4 linked regions of the Arabidopsis thaliana genome follow. The protein of the gene in region 1 interacts with the protein of each later gene in a pairwise test. Each region holds a gene or a part of one and is shown on either strand. Other genes may lie near its edges. The genes, in order: GATA4, NAC041, ERF1 and AGL42.

Evidence for each region.
Region 2: the proteins of GATA4 (region 1) and NAC041 interact in a two-hybrid assay, tested with the Arabidopsis thaliana proteins (one large-scale study listed by BioGRID).
Region 3: the proteins of GATA4 (region 1) and ERF1 interact in a two-hybrid assay, tested with the Arabidopsis thaliana proteins (one large-scale study listed by BioGRID).
Region 4: the proteins of GATA4 (region 1) and AGL42 interact in a two-hybrid assay, tested with the Arabidopsis thaliana proteins (one large-scale study listed by BioGRID).

Annotation. Positions count from the first base shown.
Region 1 is NC_003074.8:22,371,206-22,375,081, reverse strand, and holds GATA4 (GATA transcription factor 4), read right to left. Parts: upstream 2,070-3,876; 5' UTR 1,735-2,069; coding exon 1,525-1,734; intron 1,448-1,524; coding exon 935-1,447; 3' UTR 528-934; downstream 1-527. UniProt on the Arabidopsis thaliana protein: Transcriptional activator that specifically binds 5'-GATA-3' or 5'-GAT-3' motifs within gene promoters. May be involved in the regulation of some light-responsive genes.
Region 2 is NC_003071.7:14,179,160-14,183,186, reverse strand, and holds NAC041 (NAC domain containing protein 41), read right to left. Parts: upstream 2,210-4,027; 5' UTR 1,913-2,209; coding exon 1,729-1,912; exon of another isoform or gene 1,665-1,728; coding exon of another isoform or gene 1,652-1,664; coding exon 1,398-1,651; intron 1,309-1,397; coding exon 940-1,308; 3' UTR 748-939; downstream 1-747. UniProt on the Arabidopsis thaliana protein: Transcription activator of the mannan synthase CSLA9. Recognizes and binds to DNA-specific sequence of CSLA9 promoter.
Region 3 is NC_003074.8:8,293,564-8,297,166, reverse strand, and holds ERF1 (ethylene response factor 1), read right to left. Parts: upstream 1,551-3,603; 5' UTR 1,463-1,550; coding exon 806-1,462; 3' UTR 563-805; downstream 1-562.
Region 4 is NC_003076.8:24,962,912-24,969,225, reverse strand, and holds AGL42 (AGAMOUS-like 42), read right to left. Parts: upstream 4,581-6,314; 5' UTR 4,267-4,580; exon of another isoform or gene 4,177-4,266; 5' UTR 4,152-4,176; coding exon 3,970-4,151; intron 2,865-3,969; coding exon 2,783-2,864; intron 2,409-2,782; coding exon 2,347-2,408; intron 1,899-2,346; coding exon 1,799-1,898; coding exon of another isoform or gene 1,763-1,798; exon of another isoform or gene 1,532-1,762; coding exon 1,490-1,531; coding exon of another isoform or gene 1,484-1,489; exon of another isoform or gene 1,386-1,483; coding exon 1,344-1,385; intron 912-1,343; coding exon 789-911; 3' UTR 619-788; downstream 1-618. UniProt on the Arabidopsis thaliana protein: MADS-box transcription factor that acts with AGL71 and AGL72 in the control of flowering time. Promotes flowering at the shoot apical and axillary meristems. Seems to act through a gibberellin-dependent pathway.

The sequences.
Region 1 (3,876 bases):
TTTTGTCAGTATAGTAGTTTCATTCATGTTTTGAGTTTTGTTGTTGTTTTCTTGAGTAGTCTCAATTGACCTCAACATTTTTGCAGTTTCTTGATATTTGAATTTTTGTCTTTCTTTATACATATATTTGATCCTCTTTTTTCTTGGCTTGGTTTAGTTGATAGTTTAAGCGGAAAATTAACCAAATTAGATTAGTTTTGTATGGTATTTCTGGTTCGATATCTTAATGTTAAGACCTTGCTTTGGTTTCTATTAGGATTCGGTCTGTCGGGGTTCTGGATTTGAATAACGGTGACACTATACACCACATTATGGTTCAATTTTCAGATCATTTGTTTGTTCTGTTTCGGTGTTACCGCCTAACCAGTTTAGTTTATTTATAAGAGGTTTAAGCACTTTGTATAAGAGTATTGGTAATTTTTGGTTCAGATGGAATAAAGCGAAAAATTGTTAGATTTGAATAGCCTAAACCAGAGAGAGTTAGGTTTGGTATGGCTTAGGTTACTATTTTTTAAGAAAGTAGTAAACTGAATTGCCTCGTGAAATGCCAAAAACTCAAATTCTCAAGCATGTAACATGTATGATGTATGTATGAAGATTAACCAGCATTGTCATGTGTGATATAACATCATAAGTCACAAAAAGCAGAGTCCATGGTGGTTGAGAAGCTTTTATATCTGAAAAGAGGAAAATTAAATGCCGCCAATGAAATCATTTAATGATATAACTTTAAGGAGAGCCGTGAGACCAATAAACAAAAGCAAGAAAAAAATCAATAGAAATTACCAACAAATTAATTAGCAGAGATTTGCAAACTTTAAACTAATACTGATAATTAAGTCCTTAACCCCTCCCGTCGGTCACGTGATCATCACCGTTAAGATTACGACACGTCACCAAATCACAAAAACCCTTGAAAAGAAAACCCCCAAATTTACTGCGGCTGAAACGGCGGAATTCGAACGCAAGATTCTTGTTGTTCCTTCTGTCGCCGGAGCTCCATAACTTTCCGATGAGAGTTCGAATGCTGAGTCAATACAAACGTCGGACTCGACGCCGGTCTGTATTCCGGTACAAGCCTCCCTGATTTGTAACGAACTCCACAAGCGTTACAAAGTGTTTTAGGTCCAAGCGGTCCAGTTCTCCACTGTGGCGTTTTCTCCGAGGCACAGTGCGTGCACCGCCTCGCTCCATCCGCCGTAACCGATTCAGCGTTGTAGACTTTCTTCGGTTTAGGTTTAGCGACGGAGTGACAAAGCTCTGATTCAGACATCGGAGCCCAAGTTCCAGCTACGGAAGGTGCTGGTGCTCTTGATCGGCGACTTCTAGGTTTTCCGGTGAATGAAATCTCGGGTCTAACGGTCATGGTTAAAGGATTTGCTGGGAAATCGGAGAATGAATCGTCAACGAATCGCGATAACCATTCGAGATGAGCTGCGTCGTCACTCTGCAAAACTCAAAATCAGAACTTAGAAATTCAAAATCAAAATCAAAATTAGGGTAAATTGAAATTTGAAAACGTACGGGAACGCAGAGATCGTGAGTGAAGTCGGTGAGGAGAGTAGGAGAAGTGTAGGTGGAAGAAGGAAAGCTGAAAGGGTTTTCGGAAGAAGCGGCGGAGGAAGCGGCGGAGGAAGTGACGGTGGAAGAGGAAGAGAAGATTTCGTCGTTGGAGAAATCGAGAAGGTCGTCGATACGAAGCAAGTCCGGTGAAGACATGCCGTAGACGTCCATTGTTGACTCGGACTCGCTTACTGAGTATGTATGTGGTCACTGGTTCAGAGGTTTAATATAGAGAGAGAGAATTAGTGTAAGTGAGGAAAGAGACGAAGATGAGAACGTGCATAGAGTTAGCATGCACCGAGACTGACCTGACCACTCCCTTTTTTTCTATTTATTTATCCACTTTAATATATTTGTCTACATTTTTCTTTGAACATGCATGTGCTATTTAATTTACTTACCAGAGGATTAATTAACCATGAATTACATAATGCATATACTAGTCTTTTTTTAAAAACGCATATATTATAGATCGAGCTTATATTCTAAACAAGCATTTTGAAAACATTTCTTTCAAAACAGACACTCTAAACAGTAAAAGCATATAATACTTCAATTTTTATTGTTACGGACATTTTTGCCCTTAAACTATGAACTGGAGTTGAGAATGAGGTGAAAAGAATGTGTTTATCTTCTAAAAATTGTATCCCCATCTCTGATTCAATTTTAAGTTTCTTTTGACATCCAAAGATATATGGCTTAGATAGTGGACTTGCAGCTTCGACGGTAGGCATGAAGCTTTGACGATAGCACAAAGATTTGGTGGTGGTTCACGGCTTTGACAACGAGGGGTAACGAACGGCGTCAATGGTAAACGCTATACCCTAGAATTAGACTTGTAAACCCAAACCGTCAAATATAGAGTATGCAATTCTTACATACACACAATAACACAACACTACAACCATCCTCATTATCATCAAACACCATTAACATGAACAAAAATCAATGTACTTGTAGACATGATTATGAACATCAATTGAGCAATCAACAAAGTATCAATCACTTCTTGAATTCCTTAACCTGCACAAAAATCACTGAACAAAAAAACGTGCAAATCGTAATACTAAATCGTGGGACTTTTTTGTTTCTTGTTTTTTTTTTCCAGATCTCAAAATGTGGGATGTTAAAAATCTAGATCGCATTCACATCTCATGAGGACCGATTGTTAGTCGTCTGAATTTCCAATCGTCGCTGACATCACTCTGTAATCAATGACTCCAAAGTTGTTGGTGTTGGTCGCAAGTATTTTTGATTTCTAGTGTAAAACGTAAAAGTTCATCAACAAAGAAAGAACAACATCATCTCTCTGTAAGGGTAAAAACGACTTTCCCCAGGAAAGAAGTGCCTAAATCTAAAGATCATTTCAAAAGTGCCTAAAATAAAATATATATCTAAGACAAATGCCTTATTTGCAATAAACTCATTATAGATCATAGTCTATAGTTTTATTAATTTAAACAAGTAATGAAGGGGAAATTAAATAAATGCAAGGTTACTAATTTTATTTTTTTCAATAAGCCTCTCTCCCTTTTGTTAATTAAATTCTTCTGCCATCTCCTAAAAAGGTTTTCCGATTTTTTTTCTTAATTTTGTTGAAATTTGTGAGTTGGATCATTTAGTATCCCGTTGAGTTTTTTTTTTTTTTTATGTTTTCTTGTTCAAAGAAAATAAAATAATATTCTCCGGAATGTGTAATCAATCATAGAGTTGAATTTCAACATGACCAAAACAAGGAAATAGAGAACAAAATTGGCTCAACAATTTATTAATACAAAGTGATGCGAATGTATAACTATCTTGTTTCTTGTGCTTACATGAATATTTCGCATTTTGCAATCACACTTACAGAAAAAGAAAGAGACACAGAAGTGGGACTAGCTTCGATCGTTGTAGAATAGAGTGTACACAAGTATCTAATATCATTCTTCAGTAACCTAGCATGTCTTTCACAGGTTTGATTAATAACTAATGTGATAACGTTTAGAAATATCCTTACTACCAGAAGTAACGAAAATTTAGTTTTGATAAAGAGTTGTTTTGACATATTATTTTAAACATTGAAGAGATAACTATAAAAATGTAGTGGGGAATGGGAAAATGGATGGAGACAATGAAGGAGATGAGTCGACCGACGATCCGAAGTGCATTGCACTTTGGTTCTATAAATTCCTATGGCCCTCTTTTTAGGTTTATATATACATATTTTTTCCCTATCATTTATCTTCTTATGTCTCTTTCATGCATTGCTCCTTCATTAATTTATTCAGTTTTTCAACTATACAGAAACTACTCATATATGTACAAACACGC
Region 2 (4,027 bases), on another chromosome or scaffold:
TTTGAATATTACAATAATTACTCCATTTACATTAGAGTTTTATCAAACCGATTCATTCTTAATCAATCTGAAAATCAAACTATAAAAGTAAGTTTCAATCAAACCGAAAAAAAAATAAAAAAAATTTGAAGATCAAAGATATGTTTAACTAAAACCAAAATCATACTAAATTGTCTATGTTATATTAATATTCCTTTATTTGATTTTTTGGAATTTTAAATGAGATGATGTTTTCGACTTCCATTGCAAAATTATCTAGTTTATTATTGATTTTGGGTGATTTATATTTGATAAATTATTTTATATTGGTTGAATCGGATATAGATAGATAATCAATGATGTTTTAGTTAAAAATAAACAAAAATTAATTGATTTGTTAATTTGTGCCAAAACTAAAATATTAATTTACCTTTAAACCAATTTATTCTAACCTTTTACTAATTTATTTCAACCAGACATGAGAGTTTTCTTATCAATGTTGTGATCTTTTACAGTATGGGTAAAAAAGTGTTGTCCAAAAACTTAGAAACAACCCAACAATTGAAAGAAATAATCATTATGCATTTTCTATTTTTAACATATAATGCTTTTTCAGATATCAAAATAAATGAATTTGTGTTGTTTGGGTATATGATTTTTTCTATAAAAAAATGTTCCACATTTTTTTTTTGTAAGAGTGATCTTTAATGTAGTGTTAGTCTCTGATTTGATTGCTTGAATTGTTAGCTAGATGGTTGGTCCTTGTTGTTAATTGACACTCATTAACAAATTAGATATTTGATCAACCAGTTTTCAATATTTGATACAATTAGATAAGCTATAAAATATGGCTATTAATTACCAAAACCAAGAAAGACTCCTGGATTGCATAATTAACTTTGGAAACAATCATAATCTAATTTATTAAAGTTAATAGAAGTTGTTCCCAAGTTTGTTAATCTATAGAAACAAACAAAACTTATTTTCCCGATAACTGATTTCTTGACGATTATCATTAGAAGATGTGTGAGTTAAAGCACTTGAGCAAACAGACGACGAAGAAGTCGAAGAAGAGCAACAACAACAAGTAGCAGGAGTCAAATTCAAATCACAGCATCTTCTTCTCCTTCTCTTTTTCTTCGTGTCTTTTCTCATAAAGTCATAAAATATGGGACAAGTACTCTTCTTGTTCTCCTCCTCACGTTCTCTCTCTGTCTCTGTCTCTTTCTCATTCTCCACCTCTTCTTTCTCATCTTCTTTCCTCTTACTATTACTATTGCTTCTCTTCTTCAAGAACACTCTACACAAAACCCAATTCATGTTCTGTCCCTTTTAAAAACACATTAAAATACACTTTTTAGCCAAGTTTTTATCCAACTGATTGATGAATCTAATTTATTTGAATTTGATTCTCTTACATATAATGAATCTTGTTGTGAATCAACAAGACGATATTCATGAAGAACCCAGTTAGTTCTTGTTCCGTTTGGTGGTTTACCTTTGTAGAAAACAAGAGTTTTCTTCATCCCCACGACAAGCTTCTTCTTACCGATCTGCTTATCGAGACCAGTCGCTTTCCAATAACCCGAACCGGTAGACCGGTTCGACCGGTTTCCGTTCGGGTATTTAGCTTCCCTCGTGCTAAAAAAATACATCTCTGATTCACAATCACCTGTGATCATCATGCATATACACCATCAAATATTGAATTTGAATGAAACCCTAGAGTAGATTTTTCAATTTCTGTACCTGGTAAATCCCATGGATCGGATTTACAAACATCGGTTTCCGGTATTACAGAAGCTGGTAAGGGTAAACCGGTTACTTTTCGACGTAAATATTGAACCACTAGCTCTTCATCGGTCGGGTGAAATCGGAACCCTGGTGGTAATCTAAGTACTCCTCTGTTTTTAATAGAGCTCCTCTTCTCCATCTATCTTTTTAATGTTTGAACCGTAGAAAGAGAGACGAAAGAAGATGAGAGATTATTGAAAATGGAGAGGTAAAGTTTGGCTTATTTTATAGCAATGATAATGGGGTTGATATCGTATAATATTCGAAATACTTTTTCTTTTGAGCCATGTCGTAATGAATTGAATTTGGTAGCTTTACTATTTTAGAGTAGGGTATTGCTCTCTTTTTAATAATGTTTTTGGCACATAAAAAATTGTTTAAACTAAAACAAATACTATAACATTTTCTTTAAAGATGTGATCACCATATATATAACAAGACCTCATGAGTTTTTTTTTTTTTTTTTTTTTTGTATCAATGTTAAGTACTTATACTATTTTCACAAGTTTTTTACCGAAGTTACAGCGAAATACAAATTACATAAAAGATCAAAAACTAAGTAAAACAACAAAACTACATCACAACACAAACACCAGGGAGTACAAGCAAAAACTCAACGAGTAGAGTCTCCGGAAAAAAACATTACTGATTCTGAACCGCTCGGACATCTTGTCCTGAGCTATCTTGTCCTGAGACACTAATGTTTGCTAACCAACGACTTCCACCCTTGAATCACATAGTGTGAGGTAAACAAATTAGAGATCATGTTCATTCATTATGCATCAACAATTAACACACCTCATAACACATAGATAACACGACTAATATATTAGTAATTTTTAGTATTAACGATCGTTAACAATATTATTAGAAGATTAAGTTAGTTTGTAGTTATGGCATATGTCGTATATGTGCTACGACCAATCGTAGACAAAGATGCGTATGCAACTGGATTTCGATTATTCAATTAAAAGAGATGTGATTTCATGGGGTCCATGAAAGTGACAAATGCCCTGCAGATTCCTCTACTCCATCGCATGGTCCAATCATCTTTTCCTAATCCAGATAATAAATTACATAACCCTGTTATTTGGTAAACACTTTTAGCGTATATGTTTATATTTTTTTCTTTCTTCTTTTTGTCAACCATTATAAGTATGGGTTTCTAAACCAACACGTTATTGAATCTATATAGTCTTACGTAAAACGAAAGAAAAGAAATTCCAAAACGGTTGGCTTCCTACAACAATTTATTTATAGGAGATGAAATTGAATTGACGTGCTTTCATCAAGTCTTTCCATTTCTGTTCTACGACTTGCTAATATACCTAGCTACATGGCATTTTAATTGTGTTATAGTTTTTATATTTGATTGGTGAATGAATCTATAAAAAGAAAAGCTCATGTTATACTCGCAAAACGTCTTTTAAGAGATGTGATTAATTCAGGAGCTCAAACAAGTTGCCAGGTATTTTTTTTGATAAAGGGTATAACAAATTGTCAAGTTGCAATAACTTAAGAGAGCAAAAGTGGTAATGTTGTAGAAGAACTTAACAAGCTAAACAAGTAAAAGATGCAATTAGGTAAATGCGTAAATCGCAAGGAGAATGGAGAAGTCAAGAGGGCATTTAGTTGCTTCTAAAGCGACTTTCAATTGCTTTGTCCCACTATAGATCTCCTCCACATTAACTTCATTTGTCTCACACACTTTTCCGTACACACCTCCTAATCTCACAAAAGACTAAATTGCCTCTAATACAATTCAAAGACCACGAATGAGAAAATCACATACTAAGTGGTACAAAAGAAGCGTGATTAGTGCGGAACATAAAGAATTACTCGTACGAATGACGACTATAACAAAACAGCAGCGGATATAGAAACTAAGTTTTGTTGTGTTCAAACATAATTTATTTATCAACAAGTGAATACTATATAATTTAACATACGGTTAATGTAGTTGAATCGTATCGTACATTAGTGTACAACTTTTATGTAGAATACCAAATACAATGGGTTAGTTTGGCATTAAAGGTAGGGCCCAAAGGAGGGACAATGGGAGACTTCAACAAATGCCGGTTGCGTGAGGAGAAGGTAAAGGTCATGTCTCTTGTCCAAATAATACAATGTGGATTTGTCGTCAACGAAATCCATATCGACTTTTTTTTTTTTTTTTTTTCTCTTCCATATGTTCTTGTTGTATGTCTCAACATAATATTATTTTTAGTTGCGGTCAATAATTGGGTTGTAGAGA
Region 3 (3,603 bases), about 14 Mb from region 1:
ATTATGTGACTACTTTTTTTACCTAAAACGTTTTATCGGACAAAAGTTCTAGTTACAGATGCATCTCATTGCAAAAAAAAAGTTCAAGTTTCTGCATATTTAAATCTTTTTTATTCAATTATTCTTAGATAATTCCCTTAGAAAGTCACAAGAAAATCCATAGCTACTTTAAATCATGAATTAAAAATATATGTAAAATAGCACAAAAATTCTAGAAGTTGCCACCTAATCCGAAAGAAGTCAAGATTTTCATTACACTACCTGACCATCTTTTTCAGTTGTGGTCTATTTGAAACAAAATTAAAACACTTTAACTTATACTCCATTATTATAGTTAGCCATTTAGGTGGCTCCTAATTAATGATTAACAAAAATAAATTATACTACTATATAGAGTCGCTCCTCAATACTCATGGACTCATATATTACAGAACAATAAAAAGAACTGTCTTTGTATATTGTTATGAGCAATTGATTATGACCATCTTACACTATTTGTAGGCTTTGTGCAAAAAAATTATTATGTTAACTTAAAACATGTTTGAATACTCTAATAGCACATGCTTAAAGACAATCCTCATTACGATAAATAAGAAAAATGAGAGTTTTCTTACTAGTTGAATAGTAAGAGACAAAGACTTTTACACTAACTTGAAATTGATAAAGTCAAGTATCACAAAAATACATACAAACTGTTTTCGATGTTTCTCAATAGAATCAAATATTTAAGCAAACAAAAAACATATTAGGGTTAAAATTAATCAACCACTTCAAACTTAAGGTCCCTAATACAAATCCTAATCTTTCACCAAGTCCCACTATTTTCAGAAGACCCCAAAAGCTCCTCAAGGTACTGTTCTCCCAAATCCTCAAAGACAACTACATTATCTAACTTCACGGAGCGGTGATCAAAGTCACTATCTTTCGTCTTCTTATTGGTCATTCTCCGTCTCATCGAGTGTTTCCTCTTCAACGCCACAACCGGAGAACAACCATCCTCGTAGGTATATTTAATCTCCGAAAGCGACTCTTGAACTCTCTCCGCCGAAAAATTGAGAATCGCCGAGGACCCTCTCATCGAGAAAGCAGCTTGATCGTAGGCTAAAGCCGCCTCTTCCGCGCTTTCGAACGTCCCGAGCCAAACCCTAATACCGTTTCTAGTCGAATCTCTTATCTCCGCCGCGAATTTCCCCCATGGCCGTCGTCTTACGCCTCTGTAAGACTTCTCTGACTTTCTTGAGCTTACGGATTTGATCGGAAGGTCTTGACTATCCGAGTCAATATAGGTTTGTTGCGTGGACTGCTCGATTAGACCGTAGAGAAACATTTCCTCTGAGTCGTTCTCGTTGAAGGGAAGAGAGTAATTGTTAGAAGAAGAGGATGAGAAAGAATCTGGAGAAGATCCGATAGAATATTCCGGTGAGAAGCCGGAGAATGGGGACTGAATTAAAAATGGATCCATGTAGAAAAAATACTCTGTTTCTTGACTACTCTGTTTTCGGTTAGGGATCGTTAGTGGATTGACATGGTCTATATATATAGAGAAAAAAATGAGTATGTATATGCAAATGTCCAAATTAGACTTGAGTTTTTACTGTCTCAGTGAAAGACAAATGTCATGTAATAAAAGGGTGAAATGGGAATTTACGAAAAATAATGTTACACTCAAATGAAAAACTATGTTGCTTCGTCGAAGATTCGAGCAAAGACGTTTTGCATATTTCTTCTCTTCGTGTGATATTTAATGTTTTCGTAATATATGAATTGTTTTGTACCGTTTAAACTAATCTTCTTACTGTCGTGAATCGTAATTACGTGAGACTAATATGAAACTGTATATTATGTAATTATCCCAGAATTGGTATGTATATTTAGGTATATATTCTTCAAATGTAGAATGAGCAGTGTAGGTTAGGTATATCATTTCGTATTATCATCACATGATTCATCGAAATTTTGTCACTTTTGCATCATATCACATTTCTTAGTTTAAATATAATTTATTTTTCTTTTTATGACGGTAAGGTTTATGAATCATGTACGACCTAAAAAAGATTAACCACATATGAAAACAACTAAAATGTTATATTTTGTAGTATATATCAGGATTACTTTGGTGTACCCAAGATATTATATTTTATAAGTGAAAGATTTATGATGATGTAAAAAGTTTTAGAAAATACTGATTTGATGCTATTTGATAAGTTTTATCAACCTACATGCCACATTCAGATCAAATTGAATCTAGAAGAAAATAAGATGGCGATTTTAGTAGAAAACTAAAAATCAGTTGACTAAAATTTTTATAGATAATTTTGATATGCAAATAAAATTCCCATCTTATAATTTCTAAGTGGACTCCACTTATTTGATCTAAAACAACTTATGAATAAAACAAATAACTGCGAAAGTTCACATTTCACGAACAGAAATAACAAGATCGATGTGAAAATGATTAAGCCATATTCCAAAATAACTGCTGGATCAACTCAACAAAACATTTTCATGCTTAGGTATTGCAAATATGATTACATAAAATATCAAATCATTATCCTATAATCTTAGGAAGCTATTATTAATTATTATTAAAGAAAATCTTTTGGCCAAAAGCATGGTTAAAGAAAATTGTTGGTTGGAAGGATTCAAGATACATGCCCCCTTGAATCCCAAACAACAAATAATTTCGAGCCATCTCATGTTTAGAAGATAATTTGGCTTTATCTGCTTTCAACTTCTTTCTCAAACAAAAAAGATACTTCATGTGCCATTTTTTCATTTTTTCTAGTTTCCTTTGTTTTTTTCTTCACTATTTCTAGTTATCTTATAGTAGAAATATATTTCAAATTTGGTGCAAATTATAACCAAATTATAACTCTTAAATTATATGAGTTACCTAATATTTTCTTAAACATTATCCCAATTACATTATTTTAAGTCATCTAATTAGTTGATCAAATTTATAGTATTATCGGAAAACAACATATAAATGTTCAGAAAACTGATGACCCCTCTAAAATCCTGGCTAGTTTGATCATAAACTATCTTTCAACCATCCTTAGATATTTTTTTTCTTTTCCAAATGTTGAATCGATTATCCAAATCTAGCAAATTTAATAATTCTTCAAAAAAAAGAATTTCCTAGTTTTTCTCACATCTTTTCTGTTTTAGTTATTTACATTTACTTTTATTTTGTCAATAGTCATTTAAAACAATGTAACAAAAGTAGGAGGTGTTGAAAATAATTATTCGAACGGATACGCAACTAAATTCTATTAGAACACTACACATCATCACATGCATCCTGAGTCCAGTAGGACACAAAATTATTTATTCTTTCTTAAGCCCATCCAAAACTATGCATAACTGATTATTTGATATCCCGCACGTGTTCAAAGTTTTTGGCTCTATTTTAAACTTCAAACCTGGACATTGTATCTCTTTTGGCTTTACTTTAAACTTCATTTTTTTGTGGTAAAATACTTTAAACTTCTTACACGTACCGAAAATGAATAAATTAATTGATTTCAATATTGACATCAGAAAAGTAACCCAAGAATAATTGCTTTTGATATCAGTTGCTAAATGATTTCCATAAATTGACAC
Region 4 (6,314 bases), on another chromosome or scaffold:
TTTCGATATATAATATACAAGTAATTTCATCAACTGGAAGTATAACTTGATGAGTTGATTAATATATAATTTTACAATCGATAAATATTTTGTCTTGAAGGTAAATTTACCGCTACTGAGAAGAAAAAAAAGATTATTTTCTCTAAAACTCCTGGTTACATGTTGATAATGTATATGTTCTCCATACTCAATTATTACAATTATCTAATGAATAGATTATTATTACAAAAGCAACGGTCGAGGTTAGTGAATTTCAAAATTCAAATACAGCAGAATTAAGCAGCTAACCGTGAGCTGATGCATTTATCTCCTATACACTAGAGTATTAATATTATCCTATCAAGTAATTAGTAGTATCTAACTTCTGTGTATCTGATTATAATATACAGTACTTGCAAACGAGTAAACTGCAACAAAGACTGGTGGGCCATGGGTGGGTAGTTGGCTGTATATTAATATAATCCATTGGATCCTTATTGGGCCGATTGGAGCCCATAACTTAGGCCGAAGATTTGTTTTAGATTTTGGATGATGACTGGACATTCCAAGTATGAACCCAAGAATGTTTCTTAACATGAGCTTCCAAATACAGTGTGAATAGTGTAAGAACATCATACCCCACAATTAGTTGAAGGATTTTGAATATACTGTATATATATATCTCTTTAATTGTATAAGGACTAGAATTATAACAACTCAGAAAATACTATCCCAAATCATTACCTCACAATTTATTGAATGATTTTGAATATTTCATGATAAATAAATAAACATATTATATAATGTTACTAGCAGTTTCTATTTGGCAAACCGATGAATAAGTCAGTTTCAACTTCCAAATTCAAATCTATAACTTTGTATTTCTCTTGCTGCTGATCAGTCGATGATCCTCTCCATGGATTAATAACATTCTGTCCATGACATAGATTGCAATTTCATCAACCATAAAACATATCATTTTATAATTTTATCTCTAGGAGAAAATGTTAAAAATGATATCCAAAAGTTGTAAACAAAACCAACTGAAAAAGTCAAACTCAAACTTAAATTTTGAAATCCTTAAAACTAATCAAATACTTTATCAAAAAAAAAAAACTTGGAACGAGAACCAAATTTTACCGAATAGCACCGTATAATCTCTAACAATGATTTTGCCGGAGAAAAAAAATCTAAAAATGTAAAAAATCAACCGACGAAAAACAATCAGAGTTCTTTGGGTAATATTTTCAGCATACTAAAGCATTAGCAATTCATAACATATATGATATATATGTAAATTTCAGTTGAATTAGTATTGGTATATACAATTCTAAATATGTGAATTGTAAAGAGAGATGGGTCACCTTTTGATGTAACTTGACGTTCTCTTCTAACAATTGTTTCTCCTGAAACACAACCGACACTCTTTCACCAATTTCATATAAAAAAGCTAGTTAAAAAATTGCATGTATGATATACATATCTTATATTATAACATAATGTATCAAACCTTTGCTTTTAGTTTCTCCAACTGCTCCTTGAACAATTGAGCCTATAAAACATTTTGTCCAACTTTTTTTTTCATTTCCATGATAACAACACTAATATACAAACACACATGTGACTTGACTCTTGATCAATGTTAGTATATTGGTTGAGATATGACGCTAAATGGTTGCAAAGATCTGTGTTCAAGTTCATATCTAAATGAGGACTATAACTTGATGACTGAGATGGAGATTATTCAAGTCAATATGTGTTGTATAGTTACATTAGATCATCATCATATACCAATTAGATAGTGATGAAGTATATGTACCTTTCTTTCTCGGACCTTTCCCAGACTTCTTTGGAGTTGACTATCGATTTCTTGAAGCTCTTCTAGAGAACAAGAAGCAATTCCTTGTCCCAATAGCTTCCTATACACACGCAGAGGAGGGTTCATGAACAAATTTTGTAAATCTCCAAAGTAGTTCTCCTATTTGAGATCACTAACAAATACATTAATGATATTACTATAGTATGGTCTTTGATTACATGCGTACCTTTACATACGGAAACAACTAAAAGGACTTTTAAATCTAAACGACTAAAGGTTTCAAATTTTATAAAAAAAATTCTTGAAATACTAACAAAAAGGTTAAAAATTATAGTATTGAAATAAATAAAAAATGGTTAATGAAGTCTTAAGGATATGGATCTACAATTAATAAAGAAAGTTTGGTTAAAAAGTCTAAGCTTATATGGTTTTATATATAAAACGAAACAAAATACCGTAAATGAAATTAAAGGAATAATAATCAAGATTGTGATCTAAGAGAAGTAGCAACGAAAAGAAAAAGAAACAAAAAGTCTAAGACATTATACCGCTTGTGAAACTCAAGGAGTTCAATCTTTGTTATCATGTGGCTTGCTTCTTGTTTCAATTGCTACAATACGCCCACAAAATAAAATCATAGGATGCAAAAGAAGTAAAACAGATCAGTATGTAATCTTTGTGACCATCGATCCATCAGTTGTTTTGTGATGTAGTAATTGATCTCATAAGATTTGGTTTTGTTGGCCATTGAAAGTCAAAGAATCAATTATTAGGGACAATGTCCCACATCGGAAGTTGAGTAGGATCTTAAGTGGTATATATAAGATATGGGTCTCTCCACCTATTGCCAATTGGTTTTAAGTTGGAAGCCCACAGTCTAATATCAATAGCATGGAAATCATGTAAAGTTTAAGTTTGATTATTTTTACCAAGGATAAAACCGTGAAAGTCATCAAGTGAAAAAAAAAGAGTTTGCTAACAAACCTGCAAGTGAATTTGTGAGTCGTGATTGCTGGTTTCATGATCTTTTGTGTACTTGCGGTAGCGTTCGATCGTCTTCTGCATACTGATGATCAAAAATAGACATATATTTTCAGAAATATGAACTAACGTACTTATCTTCGTATTTGTTTTATCTATAGCTCTACTATATTTGAAATAACATCTTATCGCAACGAGATATGAAAATTTTGTTTGACTGTAGTATGATTCTTAGATTGTACTACAATATCTTCTTTGCTGTTGGTTAATATCTCTATAGCTAGGTAACTATTCAAATCCATGCCCTATGATTCACCGGGCCCTTTTTTGTCCATTTATTGAACTCTTTTTTTTCTCACATCAAATAATTGAATCTAGATCCATTAACCCATTAGGAAACCTCTAATCAACAATATATATTACTATAGAGAATAACAAATCACAACTTTAGCTACTTGGTTCTAACATTGATTATAGCAAAAACTTAAGGATGTGAATGTGTTAAACATATATATATATAGGGAACTATGTATGCACTGGACACCTGAATCAAACGAGGAAGAGCAAGCATTATTACTACATGGCTGCAAAAGTAGAGCCCAAATAAAGACATAACGAAAACCAAAAACGATAGTACACAACCTAATTAACTAGGGGCAAGAAAAAGTAAACTTATTTTATATTATCACCAAAGAAATGGGTAAAAATATGTGCAACTTGGTACGGATCACAATAAATAATCATCAAATTATAGAATAAATCCCATTTAGATCTACTTCCGATGTTGTTTTCTGTTCATATATACTTTCAAGAATTTGGAAACCCTAGAAACATACACACACATATATCAATATATACGCACACAATTTAGTTTGGATGTAAAGTTTTGGTAGATCAGAAAAAAGGAGTTTGTCTAGATTTCTAACCAAATGACTATTATAAAAATAGAAAAATGAAATTAGACTGATAGGGGAAGAGAAGAAAGAAATCTTTAGGATTCAGACAAGGATCGAATCTCTCAAGTACCAAAATCTGAGAAGGTTGCTTTAGTCAATAACGATTCAGAAAATAAATCAGAACAGACACAAACACATGACCTAAAAGCCTAATTAACCCCCCAAAAAAAGTACGATCGGAAAAGTAAAAGAAGATGAATTAAAAGAATCAAGAAGAAATTGAAGAAAACATACTCAGAGCTAGAGAATTCATAAAGCCTTCCTCTCTGGGAGAAGATGATGAGAGAGAGTTGAGCATCGCAGAGTACTGAGAGCTCATAAGCTTTCTTCAACAAACCATTTCTTCTTTTTGAGAAAGTCACTTGTCTACTCGTTGCGTTTTCTATTTTCTTCATCTCTATCTTTCCTCTAACCATTTTTCTTGCTTTGACTTGATTTTTTCTGCCACAAGATCTGTAAAGATTGAAACCCTAAACAAGCCAGTGACCAGTCATCATAACCAAAGTCATAAAAGAGAGAGAGAGATCTCACCGAATAGGGAGAGTAATTGAATGTCGGTAGAGAAAATTGAAGAAGAGATAAGCTAGTAGTGAAGAAAGGGTGATTTAAAATCAAGAACTTCACAGGAAAAGATCATTGTGAAAGATTGAGGAAAGAAAGATTTGAAATTCTACAAAAATGGAAAGAGGAAAAGGTATTTGGTTTTTCTGTCAGGAGCCCTAGAATGATCTGTGAGAGAAGGAAGGGGCAAGTTTCTTAATGTTTTTTTTTTTTATAGAAAGTTTTTTTTTATGTTTTATCACTTTTCTTTTTTGTTTTATGGGTCACAATAAAATGATGCCATTCTTATTTTCATTTCTGTTCTTGATAATAATAAAAATTATGTATAGAGTATTTTAAATTTGTGTCCATATCTTCTCCTCCCCACATACAAAAGGATAATTAGATGCCAAAACAAGAAACAGGATAATTCTTGTTTTTATTTTATTTATCTGGAAAACAACCAAACTTGGTTATAAGAATTGATTTATTTGTCAACAAAAATGTGTGTATATACCAATATATGGTTATATATATATATATATATATATCAAATTTCAATAAAATGGTAATTAAATACTACTGTAATATTCATACGATTTAGTATTTTCACTCTCATTTTAAGTAAGTTAGTACAGTTTTTATATAAAAATGTAATTTATTAGATATTTCTCCTTCACGTTACGGAAGTAAATATCATAATTATTGTAGCTGTGCACCAATTATAGTATTTCAACCTTTATTTATATAATTGAGAAAAAAGACAATCGTGGCAGGTTCAAATGTTGCATTAAAATAATAGCCGTACGAAATATAACTTAAAATATATATATAAAAAAGCTATTAAGCATTAGGAAGATCCATTTGGTCTACGAGATAAACATATTCTTTACCCTATTTTGGCAAACTTAACGAGGAAAGAAAGAACAAGGGATTTTGGAAAGTCTCCGCTAAAATAGGAAATTTTGGGGGAGAGAAGATCGATGGACGACTTTGAGGCTTTGAGCAATATTAATAAAATCATTTATTAGTGTTTGAATTTCTAACGATGTCGTCATTACTAGAGAACATAACACTTAATTATAGGATTAGTGGGAGTCAATTTAAATGGGGTCAATTTTAAAAGTTTTGTGATTTAATAAAAATTTAGTAGAGAATTTCAAAATTTTCGTGAATACTATTTTTTTAATAGTATTAACAAACTGATTTCTCGACAAGCTCGTAGCTAAAATATGTTGTTAAAATTAATTGAAGGCATTGTGACTAGTAGCTCCTAATGAACATAGTCGTTAACAGAAATCAAAAGATAGGAACTAGAGAACCTACTACGTGTCATTATGTCTATGAGTTAAGAGAATAATAATACATTGTCCTCTTTCTATTATTTTTAATCTTAGGAGAAAACGAGAGGAGATGAAACAGTATCGAAAAGGCCCACGCCAAAAAGAAAACAGTGTTGAAAATTGGCATCGACATCATCGTACTATGTCAGTGCTTTGTCACGTGTCTCGCACTGATTCGTTTCACTTGTTCGATTACCGTTCCAACTGAATTAGTATACAATTTGGGCAATAAGTCTTAGTTTAATACTGATTGGATATTCGATTTTTGGATTTCCTCACCAAATGTTGGATCTTTTTAAAAAATGAAATGGTCGATATGTAAGGGAGACGTTCAAGCAGTTGAATAAAATATTTTGGATAAGTCCAAAGGCCGATTTAGATAATTAAGCCCAAACTCCAAAGGCCTATTGAGATACAAGACTATAAATAAGGCCCAAAAGCCTTTTAATAGAGATTCCACCTGAAAGAGAAGGTTTACGTTAGCGGCGTTTGCCTTCAACCTCTGCTTTCTGACTCCCGAAGCGAAATACTGCAAATCGGAGAGATTCAGCCGTTTCAACTGTCTTCGCGATGACTATGGTCCGTTAATATTTTCAAAACTCGTAACCTTTCTCTGTAAAGTCTATTGGTGTGTCTTGTTAGTGCAGATTCGTCTTGGTTTACACTTTAGTCTAGAAAAAATCTACTATAATTCAG